2 linked regions of the Caenorhabditis elegans genome follow. The protein of the gene in region 2 interacts with the protein of the main gene of each other region in a biochemical or structural test. Each region holds a gene or a part of one and is shown on either strand. Other genes may lie near its edges.

Region 1 (6,555 bases), on a different chromosome or scaffold from region 2:
TAAACAGAAAATTAACGGAACGGGTTACTGTACCACTTAAAGGGGCATATATTGTTATTTAAGGGTCCAACAAACCTTGGTGCACTGACGAACGACTTGTGCGGCGATTTGTGAATAACGGACGTAGTTGAGTCCAGCAGCTCTCCAGGCGACCATTTTTGATTTTGGGGGAAAGTTATTTAACCTTAATTTATACTATAAAATAATAAAATTTTCAGAAAAAGGAAGTAAATTGAAAGGTATGGAGAACAACCTTTAGACTAGAGAAATCTGTAAAATAAAAAATAAAAACTTTATACAGTCAAAGTTCAACAGGAAACTTGATAATATTCGAAAGTTACTGAATAATAATTAGTTGGTCCAAAATGGAAACAAAACTATCAATAAATATTTAATTACATTAAACTTATTTCTCATAGTTTTCAATGATATTCTCACTCCAGAACACTAATCAGTTAAGCTCATGCGTTTGTTGGTTATTCTTGCTCGTATGTTATTGTAAAATCTTGTTTAAAAAACAGCAAAACGTTTATTTAATAACAGAAAAAATAATAATTTTATTTACTGGAAGAGCAAAAGATACAAAAAAATGAATTACGCAATTGGGATGTGCGGGGATTTGGGGGCCGAATTGTGCAGAAACGAAACAAGTTGATTTCTTATGAAGAATGATAGGGGGATTTAGCAAGCAAGCTTTAAAGACACTCAAACGCATGCAAAAAACAATCATAGGAGTGTTGGTGGGTGACGGGGGGAAGAACCAGACAAAACCTCGTGTCAGATTAGTAAAACTGAAACAGGAAAATCGTATAGAAACAGACTATTAGAACAAAAAGGCGGAAAAAGGCAATTTGGGTGGGGGTGGAGGGAAGCTTTAAATACTTTTAGCTTTTGAAGTTTTGTATTCTACATGGAAGACGAGAAGCCAAGGAACGAAATGGGGAGACACAACCAACCAAATGAAGATATTTTTGTTGAAACTTCCAGAAGCCGCGTAATTGTATAAGTTACTAGATTTTAAAATAAACAGAAAAGCCCATCGAAAGTATATCACAAAGCCGGGAAAAGAAGAGAGATAGAGAAGCATTTGAATGTCAGTCTTCAGTGTATTGATTGGATCAAAGAAGACGATGAGTTGATGTTGTTGTTGGGAGACATTATGCTGAAAAACTTTGATTAGTGAAAAATGGACGGACAAAAGACTGTTAAATTTGATAATACGGTAGGAAGAAAAAGAAACACTCACTCTAATTCTAATTCATAGTATAATTACTTGTGAAAAATTACATGAGCACTAAAGAATTTTTAAAAAAATCTTAAATTTCTGCAATCAACTGTGAAATAGTCATTTTTGATGGTATCTGATTGCGAGATGTTGAAGGTGTAGATGTCTGACTAAACACACCGTTTGAGCCATTTGGAGCTCCTTGTGACATTCCTGCTGACGGAGACGTATACACTTGTCCTGGACGGATTGGCTTCACAATTTGTGGAGCATTCATTCGTCGCATGTTACGTTGTCGAACAGCTTCCTTGATTCGTTCAACTTCTTGTTGATACTTCTTTCGTTCTGCTTGACTACGTTGCTTCGAATCACGAAGAGCAGTTTCTAATATTTTGATGCGATCTTCACGACCACGAAGACGAGCTTCCATCTTTGGCAGTTCAACGCGCAAATCGGCATTGTCGCGAACAAGCTGAAAATTCAAGTTTTAAGATAATCAAAATGAGAATAAAAACGACAAACCTGCTTGTGAACCTTCGTCAACTTGTCCAAATTGTTCTCCAAGAACTGAATTCGTTGCTTTTGAGCTGGTCCACTGAGAGAATCTTCTCCCTCGGTGTCTTGATTGGCTTGGCATCGAGCAACAAGTACTCTCATGAACTCCTTTTTCAAATTCTTCAACGTTGTAAGCTCCATATTGACACGATCTGTTAGTGGCTTGATCTCCTTTGCCGCCTGATCCTTCACCAGCAATTGTTTCATTCTACCCGCGTCTTGACCAGATTCAACACGAGCAACATCAGCTGCAAGTTTCGCTTCAGCATCATGCTCGGCAGCTGTACTGCTCTCTTTCGCAGCAGAGTATTCTGAGAAGAGTTTTGAAACTCCGATTCTGACATGGTTCAGAAGATCGTGATCAGGAAGTTGATCATTTTGAGAGGCAATGTCAGCAATGTTGAATTCACGAATAACATTGTAGATTCCTTCTTTGAAATGACGGATTTTTGGACCACATTCGTCAAGATGAGCATTGAGGAGTGATGTTGCTTGGTTCATTCGATCTTCCAAACTCTGGTTATCTTCTTGAACAACTTCCAACTCTCTCTTCAATTTTTCGCATTCTGCTTGTCGAACATCCAAGTTGACAGCAATCTCTTCCAGAGCTGTCATCATTTCCTTTCCTTCTTGCTGCTTGTCTTCAGCTTCTTTTTGGAATCGGTTGTTCTCTTCACGGATCAGCTCCTCGTTTTCACGCATAGTTCCCAAAGCTTCTTCTTGGAGAAGAACTTGTTGTCTAAGCTTCTCAAGCTCTTGCGAAACTTTTTGAATCTCATCATCTTTCTCGTCGAGTTGCTGATACAGTTTGACACGTTCCTCTTCGTACTTCTTCTTCTCTTCGTCAGTGATCGGGCCAGTTGTAGAAGTTAGCATTGGAGGAGCTGGAGCAATCGAACGTTCCATGAGTGGAGTCGACCCACCAGAAACTTCCGACACAGCCATTTGAGCAGAATCTGATAGATTGACCCATTCAACCTCAGACACTGATTCTCCAGCACGCCAGCGTGAAAGTTCCAAAGCCGCTGCCTGGAGAAGGGCGGCCAATCGAGTATTCTTCTCTTTTTCTTTCTCATATCGCCGTTTCCATTCTTCTGCTGTGAGCTCTTCGTTGATTTGTACAACATTCTTGATAGTCTTCGCACGTGCTCCGAACAAAAGTGTGGATTTAGTTTCAGCTTCGTTGAAATGTGACGGAGAAGCACAAATAATAACTGTAGTACGGGAATTTCCTCCTAGAGATTCTTGAAGAATACGAGTCAGTTTGGAATCACGATATGGAACATGAGATTTCTGAAATAAATATTCGTTTTAAGAAGGTCATAATTTAAACAACTCACAGTTCCTTCAGCCAATGCTGAAATAACTATTCCGAGTGCAGTAAGTGACTTGTTGATGTTTTTGGCTTCTTCTAAAACTGTTCCTTGAGCTCCAGTTTTGCTCACTTTCTCAGAACCAGCCAAATCAACAAGATAAAGCTTTCCGGTGAGCTGTTTCTTTGTTGTCTGATGTTCTTGTTTCACAGTAATCAAGAAGACGGAATGAGATCGAGAAGAATGTTCGTTCATGTCTGAAATTTCGTTCACATGTTAATTTGTTTAATTTTAAGTTTACTCACTCGTAACTGCAACCATTCTGTTGGATTTTCCATCTTCGATTGCCTGAAGAACCTCATCGGGTCCTCCAACAAACCGTTCGGTGGCTCCCTTCACGTATGGCACTCGATTTTTATCTTCATGAATGGACAAATTGACCTTCTCGGGGTCTAATAAATCTCGAATCTTCTCGTTGTAAATTTCATAATAGGACACTTTGATGTGAAATTGAAGATTCTCGTCCATACTATAAATGTGGTTAAAGATGTCAGCAACGATACGTGGAATGATTCCCGACAAGCCATTATCACCGATTACTCCCTGTAAAAAATATGAAAATAATTAAATTATATTGTTAATTTCATCGAGCGCCGAATATTTTAAACGTAAAAATTATCAAAAATCTTTCGGGCATTCGATTTCGGAAATAACTGCTGAAAATTAGTTCTCAAACTTTTCTTTTCATTAATCAGTAAAGATTTGCACTGTTGATATTACAACTTGATTGTCTTTGTCGCATTCTACGTAATTATCAAGGTTTTCATAATTCCTACCTCCATTGTATGTGTTTTTCCGGAAGATGTTTGTCCATATGCAAAAACTGTTCCATTATAACCGGATAATACATCCTGTACGATGTGATAAGCGGCTCCTTTGTACACTTGCTCTTGCGTGGTGTTCGGCTTGAACACTTTATCGAACACGTATACTTTTCCCTGAAAAATTCCAACAAATCAATCGATATATATATATATATTCAACTTTGCACTTTTCGTGTACTTTTCAAACAGATGAATGTGTCATGTGAGAGAATTGACACACCTGCATCCCCCGTGCTTCCCGTCCCTGTTGACATAATTGTTCCCTATGACCCCTTTGTATTACTCACCCCAAGCGATATACTGTCCTCGGAAGGGAATTTGGGCAGGAAACGGTCCGCATTCTTCTCCTCGGTCTTATTGAGCGGCCGAATACGACAAAATACCTGAAAACAATATGAAATTGGAAAATCTAGGCGGGGAAAATTAATACCTGGACACCGCATTCTGCTCCGTCTGTCCGCGGCTCCATTTTCAGAGAATAATGATCACCAGTTGGCGGTTTGTAACGGCGCCTATCGTATTAATTACCCGGCTTCTCCTTACAATGCCTGCAATAAGTATAATCAATATGCTGAGTAGAGAACAAGAAAAGATGACGAGATGCAAGAGAAATAGAGAAAGGAGGAAACGGCAAAACATTGCGAAATTTCGGAATATTTCATCACTCGTCTCGTGCGCGATGCACAGAAGCTGCGAGTTTTGTTTGATTGGGCGGCTTTGACAAAAAATAAACTAAAGGCTCATAGATTATGGATAGACAACGGAATGATAACAAAATAACAAAAACTGCAACGTTTGTACTGAATATTCAAAATTTTCACACAGAAAATAGAGAAATAGAAAAAGACTGGCGTCGATCAAACGTGGCACACACAAATTTCACAAATTTATGCATTTTTGGTTAAATTGTTCGAAAAATGAGTTCGGAAAATGTTTTATAATTGAAATAATAGCTTCAAAACAACAGGAAACTTCTGGAAACAATAAAAGTTTTTCCCGCGCGGAAAAATGTTTTAGTTGGCAATTTGTCGTGAAATCTTGGGTTTTTCGAATTACGTACGTTTGCCTATCGTATTTTCGGTCAGATTAATTTTTAATTTCAGTTTTCTTTTTTTTTTCAGCAATGCTTATTTAATTACTTATTTATATTTGACATTTTATGTATATGCGCGAGAATTAAAAATTAAAAACAACTTGCAAAATCTCGTACATTTTCAAAATTTTATACTATAAAATTAACACCATCCAGCAGTGCTCAGTAAACCCGTTCATAATATACCCAGATTTAAACCAAATTAAAACCGTACAAGCCTATATTGTGAATTTATCTGCACAAATTTGGTTTGGATCTACACAAAATCGATTTGGAAATACACAAACCTACACAAATTCAGTTTACATCTACTCAAACTTGCAATCTATGCAAATTAAGTTTGGATCTAGACAATCTTGGTTTACATCTGCCCAAAATTAGAATTTTTCATAATATAGGCTTGTACGGTTTTAATTTGGTTTAAATCTGGGTATATTCTGAACGGGTTTACTGAGTGACAAGAAAGACAAAGTGAAACTGAAATCGCAAATCCAAAAACTAACATTTCTCCACGATACTTGTCTCTTAACTTTTCGGAATGAATATTAGCTTCAATATTATGCAATAACATATGGATAAATGCGGTTTTAAATAAATTTCATAGATAAATACACAAACTAAACAAGATGAGGATATCCGAGGGCAAATAAGGAGACTCAAACCAAATATGGTCATCAAATTGACAATGAGTAATGGCCAATACGACACGATACGGCAGATGGTGAAGGAAGGCGGGGGAGACCGATTCGGATGCGAAAAAGAACGATAAGAGAGAAAAGACACTGCAGGTGGGAGTATTGTGTTCAGTAGATTTTCGTGGTGGGACCTAGAGGATGGTCGGTGCAAAAGCTTCATTGAAAAAGAGTGAAACGAGAGGAGAGACACACTCACAACATTCATTCGTTTGGCGGGAAAAGAGACGAGGGAAGACTTTAGTATTGGGTGGTAGAAAGAGTTGGAGAAAGAAATTCGAAGGGATACAAGGAATGTATTGGCATCGTGAAGAGACACAGAGATACATCCGTGGTTCCCTGTGTTCTCTTCATTTTGTATAATGTTTTATTCTCGGTCAGAGGGACAACGGACGGCCTCTTCAAACACTCACAGAACATTCGCTCACTGCGCTCACTAGTAGAGAATAAAGGAAGTTACGAGAGAATGAAACTTCGAAGATAAATCAATTTTATTTTTTAAAATCAATGTTCGTAAACTTCGAATTAAGTGAAACCGTAATTTGAGATATATGAGTTTTGTTTGATCATCACAGCTACCATTTTCTCGGTCCATAGCCACATTGAGACAATGGATCTGATTCTGGTGGTTGATGATATAGTGGTGCATATCCTGCTGCTGCAGATGGATCATAGTGATTTGATGAAGCAGATGATGAGGCATGTACAGAAGTTACGGGACGTGACGGCGTTAGATAAGCAGTGTGATTTGGAGGCTGAAAATGTAATGCAATATTTTAAAACACGTTTTACA
Region 2 (5,237 bases):
GTTGACTACTAAAGTTTTCACTTCGGTCCGGAGATTATGGGTTATCAATTTGACAATTTCCTGCCAGCAGGAAGCCCTGGTACCAGGGTTTGGTACCGCTCATGTTAATCTCTCCGTGTTCTTCATAGAATACAAACCCCTTCCCATAATCACCAACTTGACCGTTGTTTTTTGTTAATTTTTTGAATATCAGGGTAAATGTTTTTCAAGTCTTATTGAATAAATATCATGAATCTTTGCAATTATAATTTTTCTCGAAACGTTTTTCCAATTTAATCGGGTTCACATTTTTATAATTAAAAAAAAATGTTATTATGCGAATAGCTAACAAAAATAGAAAAGCAGTGTTTAATTAGAACTTGATACATATAAATAAATGAGAACTTGTAAACTTTTGGAATTTTGCGAAGAAGTGTAAAGCTTGATGACGGAGTACAATGTCGAGCAACAATCAATACATAACGGATCGTTCCATTCTTCGAGATTCGGACATCTGAAATTGAAGTTTTCTTTTTCTTGTAACAAGCAGAATTCAAAAATAAACCCTTTATTTACAACAACACGATTTTTCAGCTTGTTATAATTATGTTTTTTTTTTTGCTTGAAAAGAAAATTCGAAGCAGACAATATAAAGCTTTACCAAAAAGTTGGTGGGGGCGGACAAGGAAACATTCAATTATTCAACCCTATTATTTATGAACAAGATTTTGTGAATGAGGGGATGGGGCAGAAAGAAAAATCAATCAAAAAAAAAAGAATCATGCACAACACAACGAAAGAAGAAAAAAGCAAGTTTTCGTAGATCTGAGACAAAATTTCAGAATTTGGAACTTGAATCAACGAGCACTTATTAATACAAGAACGATAAGCGGTTTTCAGTCAGTGCTGCAAAGAGATGCTCTTAAGAGTTGAATCCGAGTGCATTCATTAGTTTATTCTTCAATCCAGTTTGAGATGTGCTCGTTGTCATCGAGTTTCTGGATCCACCGATTGTAGAAGCCATCATCGACTGGCTCATTTCATCGATTCCGCCCATCGCTCCACTTCGTAATGGCTCATGCTGAAAGAGGAAACAATACTGAAAAGAGGAAACGAGTGACCAAATTCTAAAGCACATCACTATCACTAAAATACAAAAATAAGCGTTTTATGTGTTTTTTTTTGTTACTGGAATTGTTATTGATGGGGGCTTGGGGAGGACAAGAATATGCTTCGTATTAAATTTAAACTTTAATTTTAAAAAACAATTCGTTTGAATGAGCTTCAGATTTGTGCAATATTTCAGTATTTGCCAATTTTGGTTCAAAAGTTGGCAAGACATTGTTCAGGCAGCATCTAATTTTCGGGTTAGTTTGAAACATAGTTTTGGTCAAAATTTTATTGTCGAATTTTTGATGTGTGCGGCAATTTTCGAAATTTACCGTGTCCGGCAAGTTCGGCAACCGGCAAATTCGGCAAATTTGACGCACTCCCCTGGTTTGAAACAACTGTTGTCAATGTTTTAAGTTCCAAAAATACATGTAAATATGAAGCAAATTCTTGTCACTGGGGTATCGGGGACGCATACAACATTTTACAACATTAATATCTAACTTCTAAATTTTTTTTCTGAACTTTTGTATTTTAAATGCAGTAAAGCGTGCTAGATAGAGAAGCCATGAATGCAGAAAAAACATCATTACATACCTGTTTCTTTGCTCTCAAGGCGACATCTTCCAATGTTTCGGCGGCTTCATATTTTCCTTGTCGCCGGTAAAGGGCTCCAAGGTTCTTGAGAGTTGTTGTGACGGTTGGACTGGAATCAGTTTTGTTTAATTTATTTTTTTCTAATAAAAATCATAATACCTATCAACTTTGGCGGCTTTTGCCCATCCAGCTTGTTCGTTGGCAGTTGCACCTTCTCCCTTGTGCTTGTTCTCCTCTCGTTCTTCAGCGATTTGCCAAATTGGTTTATTCTCTCCACTGATCTGTCCGAACTCTCTTTCATGAGCTCTGGTGAGAATTTGCTTGTACAACTCCTCAGCCTCCTTATATTTTCCTTGTTTCAAGTAAGCAGATGACAAATTGTTCTTGGTCTTTGCCACATTCGGGTCATCAGGTCCAAGTTTGCTCTCGTAGATTTCGAGAGCTCTCTTGTAATACTTCTCGACTTCTTCATACTTTCCTTGATTTTGGCAAAGAAGAGCAAGATTATTGAGTTGCTTGGCCACATCTGGATGATCATCTCCAAGAACTTTCTCGCGAATTTCAAGAGCACGCTTGCAAAGCGGTTCAGCATCCTTGAACTTTCCACGTTTTCCGAACAAAACTGCGAGATTGTTGAGAGTGGCGGCAACAGCTGGATGACTTTCTCCAAGACATTTCTCACGAATACTGAGAGCCTCATTCAGAAGATTTGCAGCCTCTTTGTACTTGTTCTGATCTCTGTAGACAAGTGCCAAAATATTGAGCATTGTGGCAACATCTGGATGATCGTGACCACTCGTTTTCTCCAAATCTTCCAAAGCTTGCTTGCACAATGGAACTGCAACTTCATAACGACCTTGGGAGGCGTATTGAATGACCAAGTTGTGAAGTGTGCGAAGACGAGCTGGAATTTCGTATCCAACATTAGCAGAAGCCGCCATTTGGTTGGCTGGTGTTGGTTGGTTGAATTGACTAGCATTCATATCTTCTTCGTCTTCTGGTCCAAAACCAAGTTCTTGAAGAGTTTCGTTTGTGACTGGTTGTGGTCCAACATCGACAGATGTCTTAGTATCACTTTGCTGAAAACAAACAAAATAAGTTAAGAATGCTCCTCGAAAAATTCAACTTACAGTTCCATCATCAAATTGTTTGATTGATGCCATATACTTAAGATGCTTGTTCTCCTCTTCCAATTGAGCAACCATTTGCTCCGACTGTTGAAGTTTGATTTGAGTTGAACTCAACTCATCACGAAGCCACGCATTCTCCTGGCACAAGCGTCTCCGTTGAGCTTGGTATTTCTGATGTTGAGCATCCATTCCTTGAGTGAGTTGGAATACCATCAGCATCAACGATGTCTCATCAACTCCGCACACCAACTTATCCAAATTATCGTTAATTTGTGAAAGCTTCTGCTTCGGCAATGGAGCTTCATCTTCTTTCACACCTAAATGATTGAATTTTAGTAAATGTTCAACTCGTCGTAAAAAAAGCCATACCTTTGACACTAGTCTCCAAAGTATTCGAAATTGTCGAGTGTTCCTCACGAAGAGCTTCAAGTCCCTGCTGAACGGTACGTAGGCCCGTCGTCACGTCGTCCTGCGACATGTTTGACATTTTCGCCAGCGACTCGATTTTTCGCCTGAAATTTTAAATCTATTAAATGTAATTGGAAGAAGTTCGAGAAGTGTTGGTAGCTAACGAGAAAATTTTTTCAGTGAGTAAAAACAGTTGAATCTATGTAGATCATAGCTATTAGGTCGTTCAATAAGTTTTGCGATAGTCTTTTTTTTTAATTTCAGATTTATCAGAAAAAATTAACCCTTTTTTTCTTTTAAATGTAAATAATGCCAAAGTATGGCACAACAAAAATTAATTAAAATCTTGCATTCTCTCAAAAACGTAGAACTAGATTCAAAAAATATTTTTCCATGAATACTGCTCACTTTGGAATTCTAAAAAATGCAAAAATTTGAAAATCAGCCTGACAGTTTTATACCATAGATCTATTTGGTGCAAGAATTTGGAAAATCTATTATTTAGGTAAATATTATCCAGTTTCAATTTTATGGCTGAAGTTAAAAAAAACGCCAAAATGAGCTCTCAAAGATTGAGGAGGGCGTCTTAAATAACAGCCCTGCCATTTGCTATTGAAATACAGGAGATCGTGGCGAGACCCCCTGAGAAAATACGCATGTGCCTTTAAAATGACATTCCACATTTTCACAAAATAACGATAAACTTATTTTACACCGAAACGTTGCTTTGAAATAAGTTGAAATAAAGCAAAAATGTTCCAAATGTTCAACACGTTTTAGAGAAAATAAAAATCATCGTGGATTGATATTTTCTTTTAAAAATTTGTAATTTTTATTTACTCGGTTTTTGAAATTTTTAATTTGAAAAAATCAAGGCTGCACTATGCGCTATAATTTTTGAAAATCAATAGCATTTCGTGGTAGAACTAATATATTTCTTTGATTTTGCTAGGTTGAGTTGCACTAGAACAATTTTGGAAAAACTTTTAGAAAACTGAGAAACTTTTTGGAATATGTCAAAGATAAGCTAAATATGTGCAACACTATAGGTACAAATTTCGCAATATAAGCAGAAATGAAACCAAATTTTAACTTTCTAATAATTTCTCTCCTGCAAAAGCTCATAAGAAATGGTTCTGAACATAAAGATGCTAATAAAGTGTGGACAAGTAAAACATAACGTTGTTCGGAAAGAGTGTTTGGTTGTATTAACCGAAAGCCCGCTCTCGTCGTGTCGGCGAATAGACAGCGAGACGTGCGCAGCCACTGATGAGAGATCATAGAAATATTAGAGACAACATAGAAACTATTGATCGTCCGTCCAACATGGAGGAAATGAGAGAGCAAGAGACGGAGGCGAGAAAGAATTGCGAAACAATTGGAAAGATGCATCCTTTCATAGTTAATTGCAATGTTTGGACACCTGAGTTTTTATGAAGAATACATCTAGGATTTGTTTAGCTTCATATGCAAAAAAGTATCGAAATTGCTTTGTTTCTCAAGAGAAAGGTGGGATTTCAGAAAATATAAAAACCAAAAAATAAAACATATTAACATAAACTTCTCATGAATTATTAGAATTTGGGCAAAGAGTTTTGATTCATATATTCACTATTTCTGAAAACTTGTCATAAGATCTTGCAATTTTGAATTAGAGGACTAGGAAAGTAGATTTCGATTTTTATTTTTATTTTACGGTAGATGCAAATTGAAATTTTTTGAAAATTAGGGTATCCGCTTAGAATGTACTGTACATTTTTTGTTACAGCCCTAGCGGAAATAACTTTCAAACATTTTTTGATGAGTAATGCATGTGATAAGAAAATGATTCAACACTCTAAATTCCAATTCTCATTTCAAATTAAAAATATAACTTACTGGCGATATGCCTGAATAGTAGAACCGGCCAAATTCATGATGGTATCCAGCTTGAAAGCTTCCACGAGCACTTTTTCGTATTCGGCTCCAGGATTAGTGTCTTAAACTTTTCAGTTTAGATTTATGATGAACAGA

Evidence for each region.
Region 1: the proteins of klc-2 (region 2) and unc-116 form a complex in vitro, tested with the Caenorhabditis elegans proteins (one study listed by BioGRID).

The regions. Positions count from the first base shown.
Region 1 is NC_003281.10:8,350,650-8,357,204, forward strand, and holds unc-116 (Kinesin heavy chain), read right to left. Parts: upstream 4,526-6,555; 5' UTR 4,447-4,525; coding exon 4,408-4,446; intron 4,361-4,407; coding exon 4,265-4,360; intron 4,092-4,264; coding exon 3,930-4,091; intron 3,697-3,929; coding exon 3,399-3,696; intron 3,351-3,398; coding exon 3,121-3,350; intron 3,074-3,120; coding exon 1,748-3,073; intron 1,698-1,747; coding exon 1,406-1,697; intron 1,163-1,405; coding exon 1,158-1,162; 3' UTR 515-1,157; downstream 1-514. Other genes in the region: R05D3.6 (Putative ATP synthase subunit epsilon, mitochondrial), read right to left, coding at 76-156; Putative RNA-binding protein R05D3.8, read right to left, coding at 6,338-6,517. UniProt on the Caenorhabditis elegans protein: Microtubule-dependent motor protein required for organelle transport. Plays a role in endosome transport. Required for the transport of mitochondria along the axon of motor neurons. Involved in the nuclear migration of hyp7 hypodermal precursor cells.
Region 2 is NC_003283.11:5,576,202-5,581,438, forward strand, and holds klc-2 (Kinesin light chain), read right to left. Parts: upstream 3,304-5,237; coding exon 3,186-3,303; intron 3,134-3,185; coding exon 2,817-3,133; intron 2,766-2,816; coding exon 1,846-2,765; intron 1,796-1,845; coding exon 1,687-1,795; intron 1,061-1,686; coding exon 902-1,060; 3' UTR 536-901; downstream 1-535. UniProt on the Caenorhabditis elegans protein: Kinesin is a microtubule-associated force-producing protein that may play a role in organelle transport. The light chain may function in coupling of cargo to the heavy chain or in the modulation of its ATPase activity.